Linked DNA regions of Sus scrofa. The protein of the gene in region 4 binds, or shares a complex with, the protein of the main gene of each other region. Links are inferred from orthologs where the notes say so. Each region holds a gene or a part of one and is shown on either strand. Other genes may lie near its edges.

Region 1 (4,000 bases), on a different chromosome or scaffold from region 4:
AAAGAGAAAAGAAACACCCTTTAAGGAGGAAGCTGACAGAAAGTGGAGGCTAGTTAGTGGGGCCAGGGCAGGAAGAGTCAAATAGGACCAAAAGGTTTTGGACTCGGCTTGTGCTCAAAGAGGAAGAGGGTAAAGGGCAGAAGTTCGGCAAACATTTTCGCTTAATGAATGTCAATAAATCTCAGGCTTTCTTCAGCCTGAGAAACTTATGCTCTGTCCCCTGCTTCCCAAAATGCTGTGCCAATGCCCAGAGGTGAAGCAGGTAAGGGCTGAGAGGCAAGAAGTGCCCTTACACTGGGCTGGCTAAGGAAGGCAGACCTTGGACTTCCAGGGCCACTGTTCCAGCTCCCTTTCATCTGTTACCGTGGCACACGCCCCCTTGTAATTCTCTGAGCAAGCCTCACCTTTCCAAAACGGCTCTGTGACTTTGCTCATGAAGTGTCCCCACCTGGAATACTCCTCACTATCCGCCTTGAGTGTTTGGTTGTCAAAATGAGTATATTTTGATGATCTGTCCCCTTTATGCTCACTCAAATCTCCTTCACTCCCTTCAAAGGCCGTTCCTAGGCCCCCAGCTCATCTTCCCGAGCTGCTTTTAGCCAGGTGAGAACTAAAGTGATCCTATCTTGTTATCTATTTGGGGTGGGACGGACACGCCCAAAGAAAGAGCCTCAGGTGGATGAATTCAGCTTCTAAGTCCCAGACGTCCGAATTTCTGTGATAACGCCCGGCCTCTGCCTTTCCTTCTCCGTCTCAGTTGCCCCGTAAATACATCCTCTGCTCCAACACGCAAGGTCACGGTCTTCTCTGGCCCCTCTGACCCTAACTCAGTCTTAGTCCAGACCAGAAAGTCCCCGACCGGGTGAGGGCTTGTTACCTTTTCGAGCCCCGCGAAAGGCCCCACCCAATTCCTTGCCTTTCCAGTCCTATCGCCAACCCAAGAGCGAGGTCGCAACCCTTACCTGTTGGTAGGTGCCTCCCTGGCCGGCCTCAGCGCATCGGTAGCCTACAGCCTCAGAGCTCCAGGCGCCAGCAACCACCTGTTTCTCCCCACCCTTATGAGGCTACTATCAGCCGAGGCGCCTCCACCAAAGGGATTGGTGCTGGCTCGGCCAATCAGCGCTCGCGGTGTAATCCTGCCCAATAAGGCCAGGCCGCGCCACAATGCCCTGCGCCCTGCGTCAGGCCTCCGTCGGGTTAGTCCCACCCACTCCAGCACTGTGCCAATGGGGAGCTGCAGTCATCTGTCCTCCAATGGGGTGCAAGGCCGCGCGCAGGGGGCGGTGGGAAGGGCGCCGAGTCGGTGTGTACGTCCGTTGCCGTAACAACGGGAAGCGGAGTCCATCGGCGATGGTGAGTGCTTGTTACCCTTTCGAACCCTGTGTCCAGAAGCTGAGCCCTTCACAGGCCTTGGCCTGGCCCCGCCGTCTCTCCTGCGCGGTTCTCGGCTTTGGCGCACTCTTTCCTCTGAGCGCTTCCCGGAAGGGTAGGGTAGAGATCCTGGCCGCCCTGCTGGGCCTGCGATTAGCCGCTGCGTCCCATTCAAGCCACAGCTGGCCCCTATCCGTCCTTCGGGCTCCCCTGGCTCCTTCGGTGACCACCTCTGGTCAAAACAGACTCGGGCTCTTCGCACACCCCGACCACTTCCAGACTCTGGCCTCCTGGCCGCCTCTACCAAAGTTTCTACCCAGAGCCTAGGGGAAGTTTATTGTGTTTGATTGTTAATGTGCATTTAAAATGTTAAATATTGGGACTTCGGAAACGCTTTGACCTTCTTGGGGAAGGCTCAGATGTGCCGAGGGGATTGAGTTTTATTATTCGATATTGACAGAATATACATCTTAACTTAGTATTTGGCCAAATTAGAAGTAATCAGAAAATCTTATAACTTAGAGCGAAGCAGAATAGCGTTCTAAGGACATTTTTAGATTTAGGGTCCCAAATTCAGAGAGAGCTGATTATCTGTACATTTATCCAGAGTCAGCTCCTTGGCCAGCTCTCTTTTTAGATGATTTCAAATAAGAGATATCCAAAAGAACAAAGGATCTCCTTCTAGAAACAGTAGTAAAGAAGAGGGAGGGATAGAGGTGCAGAGAAAGAGTATTTGCTCTTTTCACTAAACGCTGTTATTTCTCCTGTTAGTTTTGGAATTCGTTGGTATAAACTATTTTAAAAGTAGATAGGATTGTAACATATTTATGTAAAATATGTACCCTATTACATAATACCGTGCTTCTCTGTTTGTGAAACATATAAAGGCCTCTAACTTTAAGAAGACAAACGTGGCATCTGCTGCCCAGCGAAAAAGGATGAGCCCTAAACCAGAGCTTACTGAAGAGCAGAAACAGGAAATCCGAGAAGCTTTTGATCTCTTTGATGCTGATGGAACTGGGACAATAGATGTTAAAGAACTTAAGGCAAGCCCTGTACATTCCTGCTCTGCTGCCTTGACTTTTCTCTGCCTCTTTCTCTTCTGTGCTGTTTTTCTGTCTTTATTTACCTCAAGTATTATTAAACAAAATTGAGTGCAAATATCAATTTGCTTAATGTTATAGTGTTTCCTAATTATTTTAACATGATTGTGTCAGATACTGGCTTAATGCTCTCAATGCTGTCATTTTTTGCCCCTGGGTTTAGATGTACATATTGAGATGATCCTGTTTTCATTGCAGGTGGCAATGAGGGCACTGGGCTTTGAACCCAAGAAAGAAGAGATCAAGAAAATGATAAGTGAAATCGATAAGGAAGGGACAGGAAAAATGAACTTCAGTGACTTTTTAACTGTGATGACTCAGAAAATGGTAGGTTAGCTAAGATGATGGGTGTATTTTCCACCAATAATGGTGGACAGATTTGAGTCTAGATATGAAAGTGTCTTTTCACCCATTGGTCCCTTTCTCTTTCATTGGCCTCCTGGCTCCTCCTCAGTGTGGCTCATGTACATTCTACTGGCCCGTGGAAAAGTAGCTCCATCAGTGCTTCAGCTGTGCTTCCCAAGGCACAGGTCTCTTCCCACTCTAATAATCCTGTTGCTTTGAAATCATCTAATCACACCCATATTTTTCTTCAGGGACTAAGTTAAGAGTTCAGGAAGCTTTTCCTCTTTTCCTCTGTCAGAGTACCTGGGATTCTAGTAACTCTTGGTGCTCTCATAAGTGAAATCGCCTTCTCTTTCCTCCCTGCTCCCCTCTGCCCCCAAGAGGATCCCAGCTTAAGCAGTGGAATTTCCTCTAAACTTAATCCCATCATCTGCTGCTGTATTTTATTTATTTATTTATTTTTTTGTCTTTTGTTGTTGTTGTTGTTGTTGTTGCTATTTCTTGGGCCGCTCCCGCGGCATATGGAGGTTCCCAGGCTAGGGGTTGAATCGGAGCTGTAGCCACCGGCCTACACCAGAGCCACAGCAACGTGGCATCCGAGCCGCGTCTGCAACCTACACCACAGCTCACGGCAACGCCGGATCGTTAACCCACTGAGCAAGGGCAGGGACCGAACCCGCAACCTCATGGTTCCTAGTCGGATTCGTTAACCACTGCGCCACGACGGGAACTCCTGCTGCTGTATTTTAAAAAGCAGTCTACTTTTCTCTTCCATTTGTATAGAAAATGTTTTAAGTGCAAGCCTTTATATTTCCTTCTTAGCCTCTGGGATTGTACCAATTTCATGTTTGTCCCCTCTCTCTACGCTGGTTGATTTTTGATCTTCTGTGACCTAGCACCAATGTCATGAGGCCATGTGGTGCTGTTGTGGCAGGGCAGAGGGGATGGTGCTAGGGTTGTGGGACACAGGTAATTATGAGTCTCTTTACTCATGTGTTTTTTATGTTCTACTTGTTAAGTCTGAGAAGGATACCAAAGAAGAAATCCTGAAAGCTTTCAAGCTCTTCGATGACGATGAAACTGGGAAGATATCGTTCAAGAATCTAAAACGCGTGGCCAAGGAGTTGGGCGAGAACCTCACTGACGAGGAGCTGCAGGTGTGTGATGTGTCAGCCTGGAGC
Region 2 (3,500 bases), on a different chromosome or scaffold from region 4:
GATATAGTTTTCCGTTAAGTTTCTTGACAGCTGTGTCGAAATCTTCATCTTAAAGTATAATATATTTTATTAAATAAATGAATTTCTAGTGTATTTCAGGAGATTTTCTAGCCAGGAATCAAGGGTTCCTCTCCAACTTCCCACTTTCCCTTGCTCCTACATCCAAATAGCAACCAATTTTGCCAATTCTATACAAACGCCTCTCTGCTCTTGTCTGAGCTGCTCCACTACTTTAGCTCCTCTTCCTTCTCCACTTTCCACAACCCAGTCCTCTACCCCATGGCCCAACTGTCCTACTCAAATTACTCCGAGCACAAGATTCCTCTGCTTGAAAACTCTGACACAGCCCACAAAGCAAGCCCCAGTCAGAGGCTATCTCTGCCTCACCACCATCCCACTCCTCTCATTCCCCAGGGAAATTAGGGTTGTCTTCAGTTCCCTCAGAACGCCTGCCCTGTTCAGAGCAGCACTCCAGGAAAACCTCTTTCAATCACTACATGCGCTGATTATTCACACATGCATTCACCTGCAAGTAGAGCAGGGGTGGGCTCTCGGAAGCAGGCTTGAAAGGATTTCATCACCCTGTCCACTAAGATGGAGCATGAACAGAATGCTTTAAAGCAAGAAAAAGCTTACCATCCTCTTCCTCTTCGCTGACGTATCCTGGCCGGTTCTTATAGCAGAAGAAAGTGGGAGGAAGCTGAAGTCTGATTGCAAGAGCTTTTTGCTCAGGAGTTGGGGTCAACTCATATACAATGAGAACATCATCATCCGAGGGAAGGTCTTCAGGCTTTTTCTTCTCTTCCGCTGTAAGGTAAATCCAAAAAAAAGTTGTCAAAGATATTAAGTATTAGTTAGCATCAACACTCTAAAAATAAGTATCATAGAACATAATATTCAGGTTAAAAGAGCATGCTGACAAGAGTTCCTTGGTGGCGTAGCAGTTTAGGGTTCTGAGTTTCCAGTGCTGTGGCATGGGTTCCATCCCTGGCCTTGGAACTTCCACATAATTCAGTGTGGACACTGCTCATGATAAAATGTGAATTAGAATTAGAAGCCTGATTTAATGCTCTATTAAAAATGCTTAGTACACATAGAATCTACTTAAAAAACAAGCAAAAAGTCCTGCTTTTACTTACTGATCATTGAAAAAAATTAACAGCTATAAATTCAAAACATAGATAAAAAGTGCTGCCATAACCAGATGTGGCATACTAAGCGGTTTAGCCAAATATCCATGCATTTGCGACAACTGAAAAAAAAAATTCAATCATAAGAAAAGATTAGTATAAATATAAAACTAACACAAAGCCAACCTTGATGAGAGCCTTAACAACTGCCACGGAAGGCAAGTGATTAGAGTTAACATCCCATTTTTCATATTTCCAAGCCGGGTAATAGATTAAATTAAATTAAAATGGGTGTCTTCTAGGTAAGAACCTAAGACAATTTGTATTAGCTGAAACACCAACAAAAAGACAAAAGATAGAGAGAAAAGTAACTCTTCATAGAATATGCTCTGGCCTACAAAGGGCGTCTGGCTAAAGGAATGAGAAAGTATGCAAGCCATGAAGTTTGCATCACCTTGGCACTGTCCAATCTGGCAGGCCGGCCACCCCTGACAGGGAAGCACTTACGCTGTGGCCAGTTCAAACTGACATGTGCTACAAGTGTAAAAATACACACTGGGTTTTGAAGACTCAGTTTAAAGAAAAAAAAAAAAGGAAAATATCTCATTTTAAATTTTTTATACTGATTAGAAGTTGAAATGATATTCTGGACATAATGGGTTAAGCTTTATTAAAATTAATTTCATCTCTTTTTTCACCTGTTTTCTTTCATTTTTTAGTGTGACTACTAGAAATTTTTTAATTACTACAAGCAATTTGTACCTTATTTCTACTGGATGACCTGATCCAGAAAATAGCTTTCTTGCAATTTTTAACTTGCCTTTTTTCACCTTTTTTTCTTTTTTTTTTTAGGGCTGCACTGGCAGCACATGGAATTTTCTAAAGCTAGGGGTTGAATTGGAGCTGCAGCTGCTGGCCTACGCCATAGCCACAGCAACACCAGATCTGTGCTCCATCTGTAACCTATGTCACAGTTTGAGGCAATGCCAGATCCTTAACCACTGAGCAAGGCCAGGGATCAAACCCGCATCTTCATGGATTCTTTTTTTTTTTTTTTTTGTCTTTTTGTCTTTTTGTCTTGTTGTTGTTGTTGTTGTTGCTATTTCTTGGGCCGCTTCCGCGGCATATGGAGGTTCCCAGGCTAGGGGTTGAATCGGAGCTGTAGCCACCGGCCTACGCCAGAGCCACAGCAACGCGGGATCCGAGCCGCGTCTGCAACCTACACCACAGCTCACGGCAACGCCGGATCGTTAACCCACTGAGCAAGGGCAGGGACCGAACCCGCAACCTCATGGTTCCTAGTCGGATTCGTTAACCACTGCGCCACGACGGGAACTCCATCTTCATGGATTCTAGTCTGGTTCTTAACCTGCTGAGCCACAACAGGAACTCCTTACTTTTCTTTTTACGCCACACCTCCAGTTCATGGAAGTTTCTGGGCTAGAGGTCGAAATCAGAGCTGCAGCTGAGGCCTATGCCACAGTCACAGCAACACTGGATCCAAGTCAAATCTGCAACCTATGCCAAAGCTTGTGACGCCAGATCCTTAACCCACTGAGCAAGGTCAGGGGTCAAACCCACATCCCTCAGGGACACTATGTCGGGTTCTCAACTCACTGAGCCACAACGGGAACTCCAAATAACTTTTTTTTTCTTTTTTTTTTTTTTTTTTAATGGCTATGCCTGTGGCATATGGAAGTTCCCGGGCCAGGGACTGAATCTGACCCACAGCTGCAACCTACACCACAGATGGGGCAACGCCAGTTCCTCAACCCAAAGTGCCAGGCCAGGGATCAAACCCCATGCCTCTGCAGCAAACCAAGCTGCTGAGCTGCTGCAAGCTGGATTCTTGACCCACTGTGCCACAGCAGGAACTCCTCACTCTTCTTCCTCACAAAATCTTAGCATCAATTCCTAGCGGGAGATCAAAAGAACACTCTAAGACAAAGATTCTTGTTTATCAGATAGCATCACTGGGCCTCAGTTTCCTCATGCCTCAGGTCTTCATTTCTAAGGTCTCTGAAACTGTGACATTCTCAGTCTTCAAACAGAATAGGGCTCTCTGTCCTGCAGCAGTAAGTTGTAAATTTGCTTTCAGACCAGGCACTCTTCACCTTGGGCCCATGAAGTTTGTGCAGAAGTGTGTAACCTTTACAGAAAAAAATTCACACTTTTTACATAATTTTTCAATGACTGCATCCCAAAGAATAAAGGCTGATAGCTGCTGTGGCTAGGAGTACTTGGTGTACTTTAAGACTGAGGGTCCTAGGAGTTCCCATTGTGGCTCAGTTGGTTAAGAACCTGCCTAATATCCATGAGGATGCAGGTTCGATCCCTGGCCTCACTCAGTGGGTTAAGGATCTGGCATTG
Region 3 (4,138 bases), on a different chromosome or scaffold from region 4:
TCTAACAGTGAAATGGGAACATAAACTATTTTCTCCCAATCTCAGTGGAATATCGGAAGAGTTGATAAAATGAGGTTGTAAGGTACATGGAACATCTCTGATAGGATTGTAGGATTGTTTCAGGGATTGAATGAGATAATATAATAACAACATCAACATTATAAGATAATGTAAAATTCTTAATAAATATCTGGCATATGGTAGCACATAGTAATGACTATATTTTAGTTTAAAAATAGCGAACGAGGAGATCCCATTGCTCTACAGTGGAAATGAATCCGACTAGTATCCATGAAGATGTGGGTTCTAGCCCTGGCCTTGATAAGTGGGTGGGGGATCCAGTGTTGTGGTGAGCTGTGGTATAGGTTGCAGACACGACTGCGTTGCTGTGGCTGTGGTGTAGGCCGGCAGTGGTAGCCCAAATTTGACCCCTAGCCTGGGAACTTCCATATGCCATTGGTGTGGCCCTAAAAAGAAAAGAAAAGAAAAGAAATTAGCAAACTAAAATTTAGCAAGTAAAAAAAAGAGGGCCAATTATTTAGGGGTGCTCAGGTGAACAAATATTTGGTGTTTATGAAATGATTTGTCTGGAAATTGCTTCCAAGTAATTTCTCATGTTGGAGGTGGGATAGAGGAATTGACCAGCTAGTGAAGCTGGACATTCATTATCCTTTTTTTTTTTCCCTGGACATTCATTATTCTAACTTTGCATACATTTGAAAATTTTTTTCTTTTTTCTTTTTTTGTCTTTTCTAGGGCCACAGGTGTGGCATATAGAGCTTCCCAGTCTAGAGGTCAAATAGGAGCTACAGCTGCCTGCCACAGCCACACCACAGCAGTGTGGGATCCAAGCCTCATCTGCGACCTACCACAGCTCACGGGCAACAGCGGATCCTTAACCTGCTGAACGAGGCCAGGGATTGAACCTGCAACCTCATGGTTCCTAGTCAGATTCATTAACCGCTGAGCCATGACCGGAACTCCCTACACTTGAAATTTTAATAATAAAAGGTTATGATTGTTTCACTGTATGTAACTATGTTGATGCAAATCACTTGGTATATACATATACACGAAATGCAATGAAAATCTAGTTTGTAACAAATTAAATGGCTTTTTGAAGTTTATCTATCTTTCACCCCACTCCACTCTCCAAAGTAAAGGAGTAATGCAACGATTTAATTTGACATATAGACAATGATTGGAATTTATGGCTTTCATAATATCATAAGTGGGCATCATTTCAGAAACTAATCTTTTTCTGTACCACCTAACCAACTTTAGTCCTTATAAGAAAAAAAAAACTACACTCCCCAGCATGCATTGCACGACATCGTCAACACGAGGACCTCGCGTCGCCGAACTGGTTGCCCTCGCCTTATTTGAATGGGAATAATCCTGGCGAAAATTGACGTCTGTGGCTCAGAGTAGATTTTCGAGTATTTGTAAGACAAGCTCGGTAGAGCGTGCGGTAGGAAGGAGACAGCGTGGTACCTTTATGTTCAGGCATCGCCCCAGGCAGCCTCGCCCTTTTCTGGGGCTTCCGTGCGGCAGGAGGGCTCCGTTAGTGCGCTTCCAACATGGCGACGCTGTTGGCGGTAAATTCAGGTAGGTGCGGCCGGGGCAGAAGGCAAATTGTGGGGCAAGGTGCTGATCGGTTCTTAAGGGAGAGACCCGGGCTGTGGGGTTCCTCGGAGTCCAGTCCCCCATTTGTGCACAGTGCCCGCTTCTCTCCAGCCGGGAGCCTAGATTCCCGCTCCTCCCCAGTTTGAATGGCGCGCGTCGGCTCTGCGGGTGTTAAGAATTGGGCTTTGAGGGTCGAGGCGAGGAAGCTCGGTCCACCGGAACCCGGCGTGGAATTCTCGCAGTTCAAGGCCAAGCCTGTTCTCTTCCATTACTCACCCCATTATGTGTCCGTGATCCAGGTTTCATATGTAGTTTTCCAGCAATGAGGTCAGGGGACCTGAGATATTTTTTTCAGCCCATGCCGAAACTCGTACTTTGTATTAGGCACCTGGATCGCTCATGGAGGTTGGGGGGTTATGCAGGAAGCGAGGTTCCTTGGTTATGAAGCCTGAAATTTTGAAGGTGGCCGAGGACTACCATGACTCCCAGCTCTGCAGTTGTGGCCTGTCCCTGGATGCTTCTGTACCTTTGGAACAGTAGATCCTCGGGACAGGGCAGAATCTAGAAGGTTGTAAAGAAACTCTGGAAGATTTGGATTGGGCAGTTCTCAATCTGGGGCGGAACTCCCCCTCCCTGCGGGGGGGCATTTAAAAGAGTGGGTGCATTTTGATTGTCCCGGTTCCTGGGGTGCTCTGCTGGCGCCTAGTGGGCGGGTCTAGGTTGCCAGACATGCTGCAGCGGCGGGAGCGTTCCTGAAAATCAATTTCCTGCTCTGAATGTCACTGTCTTGTTTGAGCCATGCTAAGCTTTATGGGCAGTTAAGAGCACATCGGTGAGGTAAATCCTTGTAAAGAATCTCACTCAAAGAGAGCTCTTTCTTAGGGCGCCTTTTCTTTCTGTCTCTACGCAGTTGGTTTTTTTGTTTTTTGGTTTTTTTTTGTTGTTGTTTTTTGTTTTTGTTTTTGTCTTTTTAGGGCCGCACCTGTGGCTTAGGGACGTTTCTAGGCTATGGGTCGAATAGGGTCTAAGGCTGCCGGCCAGTGCCGCAGCCACAGCGACCCTGCGTGATTGGAGCTTTGTCTGAGACCTACACCGCAGTTCAAGGAACACTGGATCCTTTAACTCACTGACAGGCCAGGGATGGAACCCACGTCCTCATGAATGCTAGTCGGATTGGTTACCAGCTGAGCCGGGATGGGAACTCCCTATGCTGTTGTTTTGTGTGTGTGTGTGTGCTGGTTTGTTTTCACACGACTGATACTCTTGAAAACGTGTCTAAATCTGACTTTTGCAAATCAAACCATTTCAGAAACACTATGATAAATTATTTTGTAATAATGAAGGATTATGTTTATTGAGCACCTCCTTTTCCCCAGGCACCATGCTAGGAGCTATCTTTTATCTCATTTAATCCCCTTTATCCACCTATGGAGTAGCTACTATTAAATACTCCATTTTACAGATTTGGAAATAGAGTGGTTAAGTAACTTCTTCAGGGTTATACAGTTAATGATTCAAAGTCAGTCTTTGATGATACTTAAACGTGTTCCTACTGAAGCACAAGCTAATTCATTTCATTACATAAAATTTCCATATACCTGAATTTAGTAATGAAGTTACTTCCTTAATCTTGCTGTCTTGCCCTCCTAACCCAGATGTAAACTTAAAACAAAGTTTTCATGTTATACGTGTGGTTATATACTTTTCTTTAGTACATGCTCATCCTAAATTAGTATCATTAAACATAAATCATTGAAGGAAAAGGAGTTGCCAGCAATTTCAAAGCATATATACATTGTATAGTGAGGCCTCCTGGCAGTGGTATTTAATTGGTCACATAGAAAGGAAACTTTTTGAGGGATTGAACTCTGGCCACAGTAGCCAGCTGAGCTGCTGAGGTGACAGCACTGGATCCTTAACCTCCTGAGCCACAAAGGAGCTCCCAGGAAGCATTTTTAAAAGCCCAGGCAGGAGTTTTTTTTTTTTTTTTTTTTAGGGCAGCATCTGCACCATATGGAGGTTCCCAGGCTAGGGGTTGAATCAGAGCTACAGCTGCCACTCTACACCACAGCCACAGCAATGTGGGATACAAGCTGGTCTGTCTGTTCCCAGGCTAGGGGTCTAATCGGAGCTGCAGCTGCTGGCCTACACCACAGCCACAACAATGCCAGATCAGAGCCTCGTCTGCGACTTACACCACGGCTCACGGCAATGCTGGATCGTTAACCCACTGAGCAAGGCCAGGGATTGAACCCGCAACCTCATGGTTCCTAGTTGGATTTGTTAACCACTGAGCCACGACGGGAACTCCCAGGACGATATTTTTAAAAAATTAAATGTCCAGGCAAGGAACCCAAATGCCGGTTGACAAATGAATGGATAGACAATGTGGTCTGTAGATACAATGGAGTGTTATTCAGCCTTAAAAAGGAAACCCTGTCCTATGCTGCAGCATGAATGAATCTTGAAGACATTCTGCTAAGTGAAATAAACCAGTAGCAAAAAGACAAAT
Region 4 (3,500 bases):
GCCTGCCCCAGGTTAGTACTGAGAGTGGAAAAGAAAGGAACAAAAATGGTTAGGACCAGAGATTGGAAACAGAAAGCCAAGGAACACTCAGTTATATAGTGAGAGTCTCTGAAGTCTCTTGTTTGGACGATGAAAAAATGAAATGCCATTAATAGAATCCAGAAGTAAAATGAAAAATTTTGATGAATTTAATTAGTTCCCCTTAGGAATTTGATGCAAACTGATGCATGGCAGCTCCAAGTGCCTTGTTTTGATGTTATTCTTAGGAGATTATCAGGTAGTATTAGGTATTTAGAACCTTAAATAGGGGAAGACATCTGTAGAGGTTCTATATGGAATAAAATTTGACTCTAATAAATAATCAAAGCATCCGTTAGAGTTGGGTCTGCTTTCACCTTGTATTTGAAATTTAGAATTCAACGTTAACTATATCAAACTAAGAGGTCTTTCCTTTTTATTACCCCACTAGGTCTTTTAAAAAGTTTAAAAACTGTCAGGTGCATAAATAAGTTCAGTTCAAAAGACACTGCAAAATTCTCCATTATGAAAAAAGTTCACATGCTAAGAAAAACAAAGCTCAACTTTTTTTATATTCATTGTATTTCAGGAACATTTTAATAGATACGAGAGAGCAATTTATGCAGCTTTAAGTGGGAATCTCAAGCAGGTATGTGGTCTATTTTAATAATTCTTTTTTCCCCTATAGAATGAAATCAGATACACAAAATACTCTAATAAAGTATATTGTAATCATGTAAGGTTAAGCTGCTTTCTAAGAATAGCAATGATAGGAGTTCCCTTGTTGCACAGCAGGTTAAGGATCCAGCCTTGTCACTGAAGCAGCTCAGGTCACTGCAGCAGCTCAGGTCACTGCTTGGGATCCCTGGCTTGGGACCTACCATTTGCTGTGGGTGTGGCCAAAAAAAAAAAAAAGAACAGCAATGATAGAGATAATCATCAAATAGAGTGACTTGAGCTGCTTAAATTGATGTATTCCATGTACCACTTGATGTTTTTAATACATGAAATCTGATTTCAGTTTCTTCTAGCATTGTAAATTTAATTACAATACTTATTTCTTGATGACTTATGGTACCCATAGCTTTATCCAGAAGTGTACTGCATAAAGCACAGTGACTATGCTACATTTTACAGCAGCTATTTTGAGGGATATTTTCAAAATTAGTTGAAATACCATCTTATATCAGCATGGGAAATGAATGCTGTTGTGAACTCATTATGGAAGAAATCTTAATAATTCAAACATCTTAGAAGATGTGGTGGTGGGGGGAGCTGTGATAATTTACATTCCTAATGTTTTAGGTCATTAGGTGCCTTTATGGTCCAGAGCAATGGGTGTAACTGCTATTCCTGTCTCTTCTGTTGACTGTATCTGTGTGTTTCTGTTTGAAATTGGGGGAAAGCTGCTTCCTGTCTGTGACACCTGGGAGGATACAGTGTGGGCCTACTTTCGGGTGATGGTGGACAGTCTGGTAGAACAGGAGATCCGAACATCAGTAATGACTCTGGATGAAACTGAAGAACTCCCTAGAGAATATTTGGAAACAAAGTGAGTTTATTGGTTTGTTTTCATCATCATCATTTGTAATATGCTCTGTGAAGTTTTATTTTGTAGCCCTTGTTCATATTATTGTTATTGATCACTTCCCTTGTTCTTCCTTTCGAAGCTGGACCTTAGAAAAGGTTTTTGAAGAACTTCAAGCTACTGATAAAAAGGTAAATATTAATATTTTATGATAAATGGAATAGGAAACCAAGTGTTGCATTGTCATGCACTGTGGCTGAAAGATGCACAAGTATGTGAAATCTTGTTATATTCTCTTTTCCTCACCTTTTATCCAAATGGAGTATATTCTTTAAAAGGAAGAAACGTAATAATATATTAAATGATACATCATTTCTGTTTCTTTGGTTTAGGATTGGTTTCATCTAAATATGTGGTGTGGGTATAAGCTAATTTATCCCTTTCGTGTGTGTGTGTATGTGTTTATGTGAATACATGACATTATGCATTTGTCCAAATTTATATGTATTACTCTGATATACATATACATACACACATATAAAACAACTCAATAATAAATAGACATATATATGTCTCAATATGTGTTCGAGCCTTGATGGAGCCAGGCGGCCATGTATTCCTCACCCCAGCCAACTCCCTAGGTCTTGGCAAAAGAATCTATTCTTTTTCTTTTGAAAAATATATAAAGGAAAATTAACAAGGCTTTCTTTTCCTAGATGTCAAAATTTAGACTTTAAAAATCACCAGAGTAATCCAGTCACTTGGGCTAGACCATGATGGGAAATAATGTAAGAAAAGGAATGTAGGAGTTCCTATTGTGGCTTAGCAGTAATGAACCCTGCTAGTATCCATGAGGATGCAGGTTTGATCCTTGGCCTCACTCAGTGGGTTAAGCGTACAGCATTGCTGTGGCTGTGGTGTAGGCCAGCAGCTCCAATTCGACACCTAGTCCGGGAACTTCCATATGCCTCATATTCGGCCCTAAAAAGCACAAGAAAGGAAGGAAGGAAGCGTGGAAGGGAGGAGGGGAATGTATATGTATGTATGACTGGGTCACTTTGCTGCATAGCAGAAATTGGCACAACGCTGAAAATCAACTATACTTTAATACAAAATTAAAAATTAAAAAAATAATCTAAAGATACATAAGTAAGATCTTTAGAAGTTCCTCCCAACCGCCTGTGATTATTCACATTCACTGAGATGATAAAACATTGCCTTCCATGTCCTTCTCCATACTCTCACCACTACATGTAAATAATGTAGATAGTCCATATAGGATTTTTGGTTTTTGTTGTTTTTTACATCCTTCTACCTACACTACCTTTACAGTTTTTTTCCCCATTTAATGATTGTCTCTCTAAGTTAGTGGATATAGTTTTAACTTAACCTAACTTATTTATTTATTTATTTATTTTTGGTCTTTTTGCTATTTCTTGGGCCGCTCCTGTGGCATATGGAGGTTCCCAGGCTAGGGGTTGAATCGGAGCTGTAGCCACCGGCCTACACCAGAGCCACAGCAACGCGGGATCCGAGCCGCATCTGCAACCTACACCACAGCTCACGGCAACGCCGGATCCTTAACCCACTGAGCAAGGGCAGGGACCGAACCCGCAACCTCATGGTTCCTAGTCGGATTCGTTAACCACTGCGCCACGACGGGAACTCCCTAACTTATTTTTTTAAGTAGGTATATAATGGTCTGTAGAATGATGTATCCTTTTTTAAAAACCATTCCCTTTTTGGTGATATTTAGATTTTTCCAGCACCACAGTGAACATTCTTGTTTATTTACTCTGGTTTATGCTTATCTACCAGTCCTATCTCTCTAGGATATGTTTCCTGAAAGCAGGGTTTCTGGGTTAAAGGTTATATGTCATTAAGTTAATTCCCTAGTTGTAGCAATTAATTCATATTCCCATAAGTAACTTATTAATGTGGCCATCTCCTTGCA
Region 5 (3,500 bases), on a different chromosome or scaffold from region 4:
TACACATCACTAGGATCTTGACCTATATAACTGATATAACTTCCTAATCTGTCCTCTGGTCTCCAAATTTTGTTGCCTTCAAATCTATCCTCCAAAAAGCCACCGAGTGATTTACCAAAATTACAAGTTTGACCAGATCATTTTCTGCTTATAATGGTGGTTCAGCTAAAGGATGAAGTGGAAGTTTTTTCATATATATATGAGCTTCCTTTGTTTCTGTATAACAATTTCCTGACTCAGTTTTATTCTCCCATCAACTCAATTAATTTTGGTTTCTTGCATGCATCAGGGCTTTCTTTCTTTCTTTTTAAGGGGAGGAGGAGGAATACCAGATGGGAAGAGAAACCTATTTTAGAATAGAGATTCTGAAATCATTCTTGTGGAGAGGTCTAGGAGGAATTATGAATAAGGCTCACCCCTTGTATTAAGACAGGGGTCTGGGCTATTAACCCAAGAGTTTTCCGTTGCAGACACAAAACCACGCATCCATGAATGAGGCAATAAAAATAGGAAGTATAATTCCCAGGATACTCATAACATGTTTTATTTAGTATCCATGTTACTACATATCTATACCAAATAATTATATAAAAGCATTACAAAAACATCAAAAAGTCATTTCCAAATGAATTAAAGATCAATTTAAATCTTCAGTAACTCTTTCAAAATTGAACAGAGAAACAGAACTCAAACCTAATTCCATTTTTCTGGCTGCCTATTTTAAGATCATTGCAATATGTCTGGCACATGGGTGAATATTCAGCCACAGCCTTCTCATAAAGCAATACCATCTACCCTTTAATGAAACTGTCCCGGAAATGACCACCAGCCATCCTCACTTCTACTTCAAGGAAAAGAGACAAAGTAATATTTCATTCTGCATAAAGGTTTGAGAGAGACTGTCCCGTTCTAAGGCCTTTGCATCTATATTAGCCAACTTTGGAAATGATGGTTCCCATTCTAAGGCCTTTGCATCCATATTAGCCAACTTTGGAAATGATGGTGAAGAGCCCAAAGTTCCTGATAAAAGTGCATACAAAGAAGAGGTCAAAGCAAATGCTGGACTGATTAACACAAAGCCTATCCTAATAGGACATGCAGTTTCAGTTGCGAACAAGTCATTTTACTCTCAAGACAGTTTAGAAAAATTAATGTACGAGGAAATGCGCATCCTGAAACATCTAAAACATTGAGGTTATTCTTAGCTGTTTTACAGAGAATAAATTAAAATGTTCTATTAAAGTAATGAACAAAATTATTCCAAACAGCCATAAACGTACCTGGTTTCTCAGACATACAGGACACACATTTATTGTCTTCCGCATTATTAGAAACACAGCACACTGGACACTCCCAAGATCCCATGGGCCTTTTGAATTTATCTGTAAATCCTAAGGCACCAGTGGTTACAGTGCAGCTGGAGGAGGAAGCAGCCATGGTTACAGCACTTTCTGAAGCCACTGGCAACGTAAAGACTCGTTTAACACCAGTTCCAGGTTTCGGTGTTTCACAAGCTACACATTTTATCGCTTCAGGTTTATTTTGCACTAAACAAGTATCACAATCCCAAGTTCCTACTGCTGGTTTAAATTTGTCTCCGAAGCCTGTCCCTGGTGAAGAAAGAGTTGGTTTGCCACTTTTACTTGGTGTCCCAGTTCCCAACTGTTTAGCAGTATCTCTTGGTGGCAACTTTGTTGCTTGACAGGCTACACATTTGTTGTCTGCAACTTTGTTCTGGAGTAGACAAGTATCACACTGCCATGATGGCCCAGCCTTTAAACTTTCCCCAAACCCGATTCCACTGGAAGAAGAGCTACTTATTGCTGGTCTTGTATAAACTATTGGGCTTGTGGTGGTAGGCTGAGCAGCAGGAGAATCTGCCTTCGGTGATGTGAAACCTACAATGGGGTGGGGGGGTTGGGGAGAGTGGAGTGGGAGAAGAAAAGTTAGTTAATGTTTTGATCAGAAAGCCTATTACTTATTATAGTTAATAAATATTAATAATATAAATAACTATAGAGTAATAGCCATTCATAATAAAAATATTATTCTTGGCACAAAACACCTTACTGTAGAGCTATCATAATCTAAGGTGGACTACTTAAGAAGTATTTTTCACCTAGAACTATATTTCTAGTACTAATCAAATAATCAGTAAGCAACAGGCCTAGTTAAAAAACCTACAAAAGACATTCTGTTTATAGTAGATCATCTTCCTCTAGCAATCTATTTACTGTAGTATAACTAATTTGAGACTTAATTTGTACTCCTTACTGACATACACACCATCCACATTTTGCTCCTTGCCTTTCCTGCAGCACTGAACCGCAGCACAGTCACTGCCGTCCTCCCCCTGCCTATGCCAAATGACCTCCGGTATGGAGCATCTTTGAATTTTTTCCAGTCATAATCCAGTTTCAGTAAAACCAGCTCAACTGTGCAGGTATGATTATTTGAAAGATGTCCCTCCCAACAACAGAGTAATAAGGATCATTTTTAGTAACATTAAATTCATACAAAGCTTTAAAAGAGTAATGGTTCAATGACAAATACGATTAAAAATCCCAACAGAAGTTCCCGTCGTGGCTCAGTGGTTAACGAATCCGACTAGGAAACACGATGTTTTGGGTTCATTCCCTGGCCTTGTTCAGTGAGTTAAGGATCTGGCGTTGCCGTGAGCTGTAGTGTAGGTTGCACATGTGGCTTGGATCCGGCATTGCTGTGGCTCTGGAGCAGGCCAGTGGCTGGCTACAGCTCCAATTTGACCCCTAGCCTGGAAACCTCCATATGCCACGGGTGCGGCCCTAGAAAAGACAAAAAGACCAAAAAAAAAAAAAAAAAAAAAAAAATTCCAACAGAGATGTACTAAAATAACCTGGTAAAACCCAGAAATACAAAAATTAGGGTCCATTTAATACAGTAATTTCTAGGTCCATTCATGTTGCTGCTAATGCCATTATTTCATTCTTCTTTATGGCTGAATAGTAGACCAGAGATTATCATACTAAGTGAAGTTAGACAGTAAGAGACAAACATCATATGCTATCACTTACCTGTGGACTCAAAAAAAAGGATACAAATGAACTTATTTGCAGAAGAGAAACAAGCTCACAGACTTTGAAAAACTTATGGTTACCAAAGGGGACAGATGGGGAGGAGGGAGGTGGGAACTTGGGGTTTGGGATGGAAATGTTCTAAAATTAGGTTTTGACGATGGCTGTGCAACTATAAATATAATAAAATTCACTGTATTAATAAAAAAAAGAACTCCATTATAATTATAATGACGGAGCTGAATAAAAATAAAAACGAAAAAATAAAAATTAGGGTCCACTATCTCCTAATGGAGCACAAGCTCAGGCTAATTCAAACAGACGACCACACAAAATTACCAAACACTAATTCAAACAAAACTGCGACAGCTTTCCAATAAAAACCCAGAGCCTACCACTTTGTTAGCCATCATAGGTGTATTTAAAGAGTTAAGGTAGGAGTTCCCA
Region 6 (3,500 bases), on a different chromosome or scaffold from region 4:
GCCTCCGGGGCATATGGAGGTTCCCAGGCTCGGGGTCAAATCAGAGTTGTAGCCAGTGGCTTACACCACAGCAACGCTAGATCCAAGCCATGTCTGCGACCTATACCGCAGCTCATGGCAACACCAGATCCTTAACCCACTGAGCGAGGCCAGGGATTGAACTTGCGTCCTCATGATGCTAGTCAGGTTCATTTCTGCTGAGCCACAACGGGAACTCCGAGACCTTGAAATCTTTAATGAGTGTCGTGCTAAGCAGTCTGTCTGATGAAGTCTCAGACTAAATGTCATCCACATCCACGCAAGTTAATGAACTGAGTTGATTTCTATGAAGATAGGAATATGTTTCACTGCATCTACTGAATAATGCTTAGTAAAATAGGAAAATGATACCAGTTTTTACACTAGTTTACCTTTCAGTTGTCAACTTCTCACACGGTGGGTGGTCATTGGTATGTCCACGCCTTTATTCTCAGCAACCTCTTGTTTTGTCTGCTCTGGATCAGGCATACTCTCTGCCCTCTTGTGCTCACTGTGCCCTTGTTCCACTGGGACTCAGTCTCCTGCTCACCTCAACTATTCTGTCCACTGGCCCCTCTCCTGCTGCTGCTTAGAATACCATATTTGCAGTTAGGAGCCTGGGTGAGAGAGAGGTCCTGTTGGGGGGCATCCTGAATTAGCAGAGGAAGCCCAATATTTTGCTGAGTCTAGGAATATTTTCTGGATGGCTTGGTGTACTTACTCTAGTCATGCTCATTTTAAATGTCAAGTAAACAAATCAAGATTAGACTGGGAAAATTCTGTGGGAAGCCTATAGAATCATTTCTTTCAACAAATAGACTTTTTGGTTTGGGGAGAGATTGAACTGGTTGTTATTAAGGGTCTGGTCTAGCTGTTAAGTGTTCCTGATTTTGTATCACTTAATATATATATTTTTAAATTACTGAAATTGATGATAAAAGCCTGATCAAAAAGATTTGAGAAGAAGAATATTTGTAGAATGGTATTTCCAGCAATGAATTAAACTCTAAAATATGCAAACAGAGGAAATAGTGACGTCAGGTGGATATTCAAAAAGTTGGATTTGACATGAAAGATTTTGTCCCATAGCTGTCTGTTTGCAAAGAACTTCAGCTGCCACCAAGTGATTTCCACTGGAGTGCTGACTTGGTGGCTCTCTCGTATTCTGCTGCCTCAGGTGAATCACATTCTACTCAGGTAGGTGACTTACATGCTTATTGAAGTACTTTTTTGCAGGGTGGGGTGTGCCTGTGGCATGCAGAAGTTCCCCAACCAGGGATCAAACCCAAGCCACAGCAGTGACAATGCCGGATCCTTGGCTTCTTGGTCACTGGAGAACTCCAAAGTACATGTTTTTAAAGTAAGGGAATTCTAAAGTTGGAGGAATCATCCAGCCAGACTCTGAAACATAAAGCCACAGGAATCAAGACAGAGTGGGAGTTCCCATTGTGGCTCAGCAGAAATGAACCTGACTAGTATCCATGAGGATGTGGGTGTGATCCCTGGCCTCTCTAAGTGGATTAAGGATCTGGCATTGCTGTGAGCTGTGTGTGTATGTTGCAGATGCGGCTCAGATCTGGTGTTGCTGTGGCTGTGGTATGGGCCGGCAGCTGTAGCTCAGATTCAACCCCTAGCCTGGGAACTTCCATATGCTGTGCACGTGGCCATATAAAGGAAAAAAAAAAAAAAAAAAAAAAAAACAGGGCACAAGACTTGAACTGACACGTTGCCAAAGAGGATATAAGGATGCCAAATAAGCAGATGAAAAGATGTTCACATCACTGGCCATCAGTGAAATGAAAATTGAACAAGTGAGACATCACTGCACATCTAGTGCAGTGGCTAAAATAAGTACTGACACTTCCAAGTGCTGACAAGGAGCAACTGGAACTTCATGTTGTTGCTGTCGGAAATGCAGAATGGTGCAACCACTTGATTTTCTCTTTCTTACACAGTTAAAATATGCTTGCCTTGCCATATGACCCAGCAATTCCATTCCTGGCCATTTATTCTAGGGACATTAAAGCTTATGTTCATGCAGAAATAGTACACTCATGTCATAGCAGCTTTACTTGTGATGGGCAAAGGTGGAAGCAATCCAGACATCCTTTAGCAAGTGAATGGATGGATGAACTGATTTGTCTGTAGTGTGGATGACACTGAAGAGGTATGAGCTGTTGATTATCTACAGCCTGGATAAATCTCAGCGACATCATGCTCAGTGAGATAAGCCAGTGTCAGAAGGTTATATTCTGTATGGGTTGGTTTGGCATCCTCAGAAAGATAGGACAAGGATGATGGAAGTAGTGATGGCCAGGGGTTAGGATGGGAAGGTGTGACTATAGGGAAAGCATCAAGGAGTTCTGGGTGCTGGTGGAACTGCTCTGTATCCTCACCATAGTGGTAGTTATGGGTCTATCTGTGTTGTAAAATCCATAGATCTGTGAGGAGTTCCCCCTGTGGCCCAGTGGGTTAGGGATCCGAATGTGGTGGCTCAGGTTGCTCTGGAGGTGCAGATACTATCCTTGGCCCCATGCAGTGGGTTAAGGATCTGGTGTTGCCTCAGCTGTGGTGTAGATCACAGCTGCGGCTCAGATTCAGTCCCTGGCCTGGGAATTTCCATATGCCTTGGTGTGGCCAAAAAAGAAAAATTTGCAGAATCGTGAAACTAAAGGGCAGAAACATCGATTTTACTGTATGATAATTAACAAAGAAAAGGAGTTTTTATTTCTGATTTCTGGTAATTAGTAGTACGTCATCCTGTTTTCTTTACATTGGTGTTGTCAGACTTCCAATTTGGGGTCCTTCTTTTCTTGTGATTGTTGAGTTCGAGATCTTGTTTTGAGGCTGTTGCTGTCATGGTGGCCACCAGAGAAGGATCCATCCGCTACTGGCCAAGCCTTGCTAGTGAGGACACCTACACAGAGACGACCGTGGACTCAGGAGGGGATAAGACTTACAGCTTCCTAACAGCCGTGCAGGTATATGATGGGCATTCTTTTACATTTACTGGAAAGCCATGATGAGGCCTCTAAGGGGGATTTGAACAGATCACACAGGCCTGTGGGGCTGGTGGGAGTAAAAAAGCAAGAAAGGTAAGGATCTAGGATTTGAATGCTTAGACAAGGGGAAGCCATGCTCATGGGTCTCTGAAATATCAGTAGTGCATAGTAGCCGGTGGTTTTCATTTCTTTCAGAAACACCTTATGGGAGTGACTTAGAAATTTTGACATGAGGAGTGGTTTGTTAATACATACTCTGCAGGTTTACTAAAGAAATAGAATCTGATGCTTGATTCGTTGAACCTACCTTATGGTGAACTTATAGCTTAAAAGTCAGAATTTAAGAAACTTGTAATCAAAAAAACTTCAACAAAGTTTTTCTGTGTAGAATTAATAATAGTAAGTGAATGGATTCATAAGTAAGTTATTTTAATAAAACAACAGTGTTCTTTTGGACTTAACGTACAGATGATTTTCCTA
Region 7 (3,500 bases), on a different chromosome or scaffold from region 4:
GTGGCATAGGCTGGCAGCTACAACTGATTCCACCCCTAGCCTGGGAACCTCCATATGCCAAAGGAGTGGCCCTAAACACACACACACACACACACACACACACACAAAAGATATGAATTTAAAATGTATTTTAAAATACATTTGATTTGGAGTTCCCAGTGTGGCACAGTGGGTTAAGATTCTGACTGTAGTTGCTGCAGAGGCCCAGGTTTGATCCCCAGCTCCAGGGCAGTGAGTAAAAGGAAATCGCAGCTACAGCTCAAATCCAGTCCATGGCCTGGGAACTTCCATATGGGGTGCAGCCTTAAAAAAAATACATTTGATTTAACTAAGAAAAGGACCAGTTCCTTGGTAAAAAAAGACTGGGGGGTGGGGAGAGGTGTTTCCGCTTGTGTACCTGTGTGTATGCATGCATACACAATTTCTGGTTGTGAAAAAAAGGTAAGGCATTTCATGTTATTGAGTCCTACGATAACTAGCTACCCAGAAGAATTGGTGCACTTTTCAGATTTCCTTCAAATGATATGTTTGCTTTCAGTTTCCACTGTCTGCAACAGCTCCAATGGTGTGGCTCCCATATTCTTCTATTGATCAACTTCTCCAGGCTCTGGGAGAGAACAGCGCCAACAGTCACAACATTGCAGTGAGTAAATCCTTTCCTGAGCCATCTTCGCAAGCCCTTGCACTAGCAATTACACCCTCAAGCTTGCTCTTCTGGTTCTCAAGGATTAAGGGGAGGGCAGAAGCCATTTATTGCCCTTCACATGCTGCCCCAATCTCTTTATGAAATGATTAATTAAATCAGATATAACAGCTCTGATTTGGGGAAGGTAGCTAATAAAGTTTTTATTAAAAATACTGGGGTGGGGAGTTCCCGTCATGGCGCAGTGGAAACAGATTCGACTAGGAAACATGAGGTTGTGGGTTTGATCCCTGGCCTCGCTTAGCCAGTCAGGGATCCGGCACTGCCATGAGCTGTGGTGTAGGTCACAGATGCAGCTCAGATCTGGTCTTGCTATGGTTGTGGCGTAGGCTGGCAGCTACAGCTCCAATTAGACTCCTAGCCTAGGAACCTCCACATGCCTTGGATGCGGCCCTAAAAAGACAAAAGACAAAAACAAAATACTGGTGTGGGTACCTCCCCTTGTGGCTCAGCAGGTTAAGAATCCAGCTGGTATCCAAGAGGATGTGGGTTCAACCCCTGGCCTTGCTCAGTGGGTTAAGAATCCGGTGTTGTCGCAAGCTGTGCCATAGGTTGCAGCAGCAACTTGGATCTGGCATTGCTATGGTGTGGGCCGGTGCTGTTGCTCTGATTCAACCCCTAGCCCAGGAACTTCCATATGCTGAAGGTGTGGCCCTAGAAATAAAAAAATAATTAAAAGTACTGGTGTGAGAGTTCCCTGATTGCCTAACAGTTAAAGATTCAGCTTTGTCACTGCTGTGGGTCCAGTTCAATCCCTGGCCCTGGAACCTCTGCATGTTATAGGCTCAGTCATAATTAATTAATTAATTTACAAATACTGGTGTCTTTTGCATATTTAGAAAATTCATTAGGAAAACAGTGTCAGAGTATTGCGTATAACAGAAAAGTCTGGCTTTATCAGTGGAGTCACAAAGCAGACTTCTGTACTGAATTGAATGGTGATTAAATGAAGCACAGCCTAACAACTTCATCAAGGGAAATCTGGTTGACAAAGTCAGAGTGATTGATAACTTTAGTCTTTTTCAGTCCTTGACCTATTCTTTAATGATTCCCGTCTTTTCTCCTATAGCTGTCCCAGAAAATACTTGACAAATTGGAGGACTACCAGCAAAAAGTTGATAAGGCAACAAGGGATTTATTACATCGTCGGCTCTTGTGATCTGGATGGTTGCCCAGCCTTTGTAACCGCTTGGTGCCTCTTAGGGCTTAAGACTTTATTTACCCTACAGGAAACCTGTACTCCAGGCCAATTTTTATACCAGTAAATGATGTGTGCGACAGTCAAGTCTGCATTCTGCACAAGAGAGAAGGGGAGATGAGTCACAGGACCTGTGCTTGCTGGTGGTGCTAACACACAATTTCTGGTTTTCAAACTTGGTCTCAAACAGCTGCTTTTGTATATGATTCACAAGCTTTTTTAGAGTTTATATTTTTTTAAACTACCGAAGACATTCTTTATCTGCAAATTAAAACCCACTTTCACTGTCCAAAATAGCTGATGGTTGTTGGTTTGTTGTAGCTGACCACCAAAAGCAGTCACTGCAAATCCTTTCATTCTTCCTATCACTTTTTGTATTTCAATGGAATTATTTTGGTCCAGAACTGACATGTATTTTCTGTATTGCAAACAGAGGCTAATGATTTTGCATACTCTTCATTATTTATTGTGGAATTTTTTTATGATCTTCAATAAAGTATTAAATAATTTGCCTAGATTAAGCCTAACACGATGACCAGCTGTTAAGGAAGATATCTTTATCTTGGAAGGTCCCATCCTAGCTCAGTGGTTAACAAACCCGACTAGTATATCCATGAGGACACGGGTTTGATCCCTGGCCTTGCTCAGTACATTAAAGGATGCAGCATTGCCGTGAGCTCTGGTGTAGGTTGCAGACAAGGCTTGGATCCGACATTGCTGTGGCTGTGGTGTAGGCCAGCAGCTACAACTCTGATTCAGCCCCTTGCCTGGGAACCTCCATATGCCAAGGGTGCAGACCTAAAGAAGCCAAAAAAAAAAAGATAACTTGAATCTGGTTCTGAGGCTAAAGTGAAGTAAACTCTTAGCTAAGAAAAACTTGAAAATTTATCATCTATAAAAGTAAGAGATTTTCAAAGTAAATTCCATTAACTTCTATGATTTATAATTATCAAGCTGGACTTGATCATACAGGTAATCTAATAATGTATTGGACCAAAATATTAACTTTCCTGGTCAGATTCAGAGGCATTCGTGATCACAAATTTGGGGGAAAGTGACAAAATAAACTCTTTAATTTTATTCTGTATATTAAAACTTATCTTTTAAGGAAGCAATCTGTACAGTACTTGCTTGTATGCCCTTTGACCTGTCTTGAGGTTTTCATAATTATTTAATTTTTATACTGTCAATGCCACATTTACATTATATATTTTAAATAACAATGTGAGTTTCCCTGTGGTACTATTATAGATAGATATTAAGGTATATGATTCTGTTTTCATTTTAGCTCTGCCATGATTATTGTGAAGTGTTTGGTACAATTAGTACTGCAAGACCCCTTGCCCTCCCAGCTCCAGAAACCTGTGGCCTCCAATATAGCAAGAAATAGACTTTGACTTGTATACACATGTATAACCAAGAGAAAGCTTTCACAAAATGTGTATCCTCACTTACTGTGTTTTCATGAGTGACTAATGGATCATAACCTGAAAAATGTCAAACCCTATTGCAGCTATTTCTGGAGGACAAGAAATAGCTCAAAACTGGCCCTGTTCCAAAAACCTATTCATTTGCATTGTTGATCAAAGAAGTGGTTTT

Evidence for each region.
Region 1: NUP107 (region 4) and CETN2 share a complex: the UniProt entries of both Homo sapiens proteins name them as parts of the nuclear pore complex. The link is inferred for Sus scrofa from reciprocal best matches to the Homo sapiens genes NUP107 and CETN2.
Region 2: NUP107 (region 4) and E3 SUMO-protein ligase RanBP2 share a complex: the UniProt entries of both Homo sapiens proteins name them as parts of the nuclear pore complex. The link is inferred for Sus scrofa from reciprocal best matches to the Homo sapiens genes NUP107 and RANBP2.
Region 3: the proteins of NUP107 (region 4) and NUP205 are in contact, whole or in part, in a cryo-EM structure (PDB 7WB4), measured with the Xenopus laevis proteins. The link is inferred for Sus scrofa from reciprocal best matches to the Homo sapiens genes NUP107 and NUP205. Residues at the interface, in NP_001091312.1 of Xenopus laevis: Gln134, Glu136, Pro189, Tyr282, Tyr283, Gln770, Ser772, Phe773, Thr774; in XP_041443600.1 of Xenopus laevis: Gly1247, Gln1248, Arg1249, Pro1250, Ser1458, Arg1506, Gln1507, Leu1983, His1991, Gln1995.
Region 5: NUP107 (region 4) and NUP153 share a complex: the UniProt entries of both Homo sapiens proteins name them as parts of the nuclear pore complex. The link is inferred for Sus scrofa from reciprocal best matches to the Homo sapiens genes NUP107 and NUP153.
Region 6: the proteins of NUP107 (region 4) and NUP133 are in contact, whole or in part, in a crystal structure (PDB 3CQG), measured with the Homo sapiens proteins. The link is inferred for Sus scrofa from reciprocal best matches to the Homo sapiens genes NUP107 and NUP133. Residues at the interface, in NP_065134.1 of Homo sapiens: Leu875, Gln876, Ala878, Asp879, Val881, Ser882, Ser883, Glu884, Tyr889, Lys894, Leu897, Arg898, Leu900, Leu901, Gln902, Arg905, Ser908, Leu909, Leu912, Asp917, Pro918, Leu919, Tyr921; in NP_060700.2 of Homo sapiens: Trp937, Leu938, Ile941, Asn942, Gln944, Leu946, Tyr963, Ala965, Lys966, Lys968, Thr969, Leu970, Gly972, Leu973, Lys975, Leu976, Ala977, Leu979, Ala980, Ser981, Asp982, Ile992, Glu999.
Region 7: NUP107 (region 4) and NUP160 share a complex: the UniProt entries of both Homo sapiens proteins name them as parts of the nuclear pore complex. The link is inferred for Sus scrofa from reciprocal best matches to the Homo sapiens genes NUP107 and NUP160.

What each region holds. Positions count from the first base shown.
Region 1 is NC_010461.5:123,903,247-123,907,246, reverse strand, and holds the start of CETN2 (centrin-2), read left to right. Parts: upstream 1-1,200; 5' UTR 1,201-1,254; coding exon 1,255-1,353; intron 1,354-2,258; coding exon 2,259-2,417; intron 2,418-2,672; coding exon 2,673-2,801; intron 2,802-3,838; coding exon 3,839-3,976; intron 3,977-4,000. UniProt on the Homo sapiens protein: Plays a fundamental role in microtubule organizing center structure and function. Required for centriole duplication and correct spindle formation. Has a role in regulating cytokinesis and genome stability via cooperation with CALM1 and CCP110.
Region 2 is NC_010445.4:47,549,329-47,552,828, forward strand, and holds part of E3 SUMO-protein ligase RanBP2, read right to left. Parts: intron 808-3,500; coding exon 637-807; intron 49-636; coding exon 1-48. UniProt on the Homo sapiens protein: E3 SUMO-protein ligase which facilitates SUMO1 and SUMO2 conjugation by UBE2I. Involved in transport factor (Ran-GTP, karyopherin)-mediated protein import via the F-G repeat-containing domain which acts as a docking site for substrates.
Region 3 is NC_010460.4:13,774,974-13,779,111, reverse strand, and holds the start of NUP205 (nuclear pore complex protein Nup205), read left to right. Parts: upstream 1-1,338; 5' UTR 1,339-1,580; coding exon 1,581-1,608; intron 1,609-4,138. UniProt on the Homo sapiens protein: Plays a role in the nuclear pore complex (NPC) assembly and/or maintenance. May anchor NUP62 and other nucleoporins, but not NUP153 and TPR, to the NPC.
Region 4 is NC_010447.5:33,024,161-33,027,660, forward strand, and holds part of NUP107 (nuclear pore complex protein Nup107), read left to right. Parts: intron 1-607; coding exon 608-667; intron 668-1,424; coding exon 1,425-1,570; intron 1,571-1,688; coding exon 1,689-1,737; intron 1,738-3,500. UniProt on the Homo sapiens protein: Plays a role in the nuclear pore complex (NPC) assembly and/or maintenance. Required for the assembly of peripheral proteins into the NPC. May anchor NUP62 to the NPC. Involved in nephrogenesis.
Region 5 is NC_010449.5:13,414,578-13,418,077, forward strand, and holds part of NUP153 (nuclear pore complex protein Nup153), read right to left. Parts: intron 1,899-3,500; coding exon 1,281-1,898; intron 1-1,280. UniProt on the Homo sapiens protein: Component of the nuclear pore complex (NPC), a complex required for the trafficking across the nuclear envelope. Functions as a scaffolding element in the nuclear phase of the NPC essential for normal nucleocytoplasmic transport of proteins and mRNAs.
Region 6 is NC_010456.5:60,359,920-60,363,419, forward strand, and holds part of NUP133 (nuclear pore complex protein Nup133), read left to right. Parts: intron 1-1,107; coding exon 1,108-1,215; intron 1,216-2,864; coding exon 2,865-2,999; intron 3,000-3,500. UniProt on the Homo sapiens protein: Involved in poly(A)+ RNA transport. Involved in nephrogenesis.
Region 7 is NC_010444.4:14,888,556-14,892,055, forward strand, and holds the end of NUP160 (nuclear pore complex protein Nup160), read left to right. Parts: intron 1-538; coding exon 539-643; intron 644-1,772; coding exon 1,773-1,862; 3' UTR 1,863-3,012; downstream 3,013-3,500. UniProt on the Homo sapiens protein: Functions as a component of the nuclear pore complex (NPC). Involved in poly(A)+ RNA transport.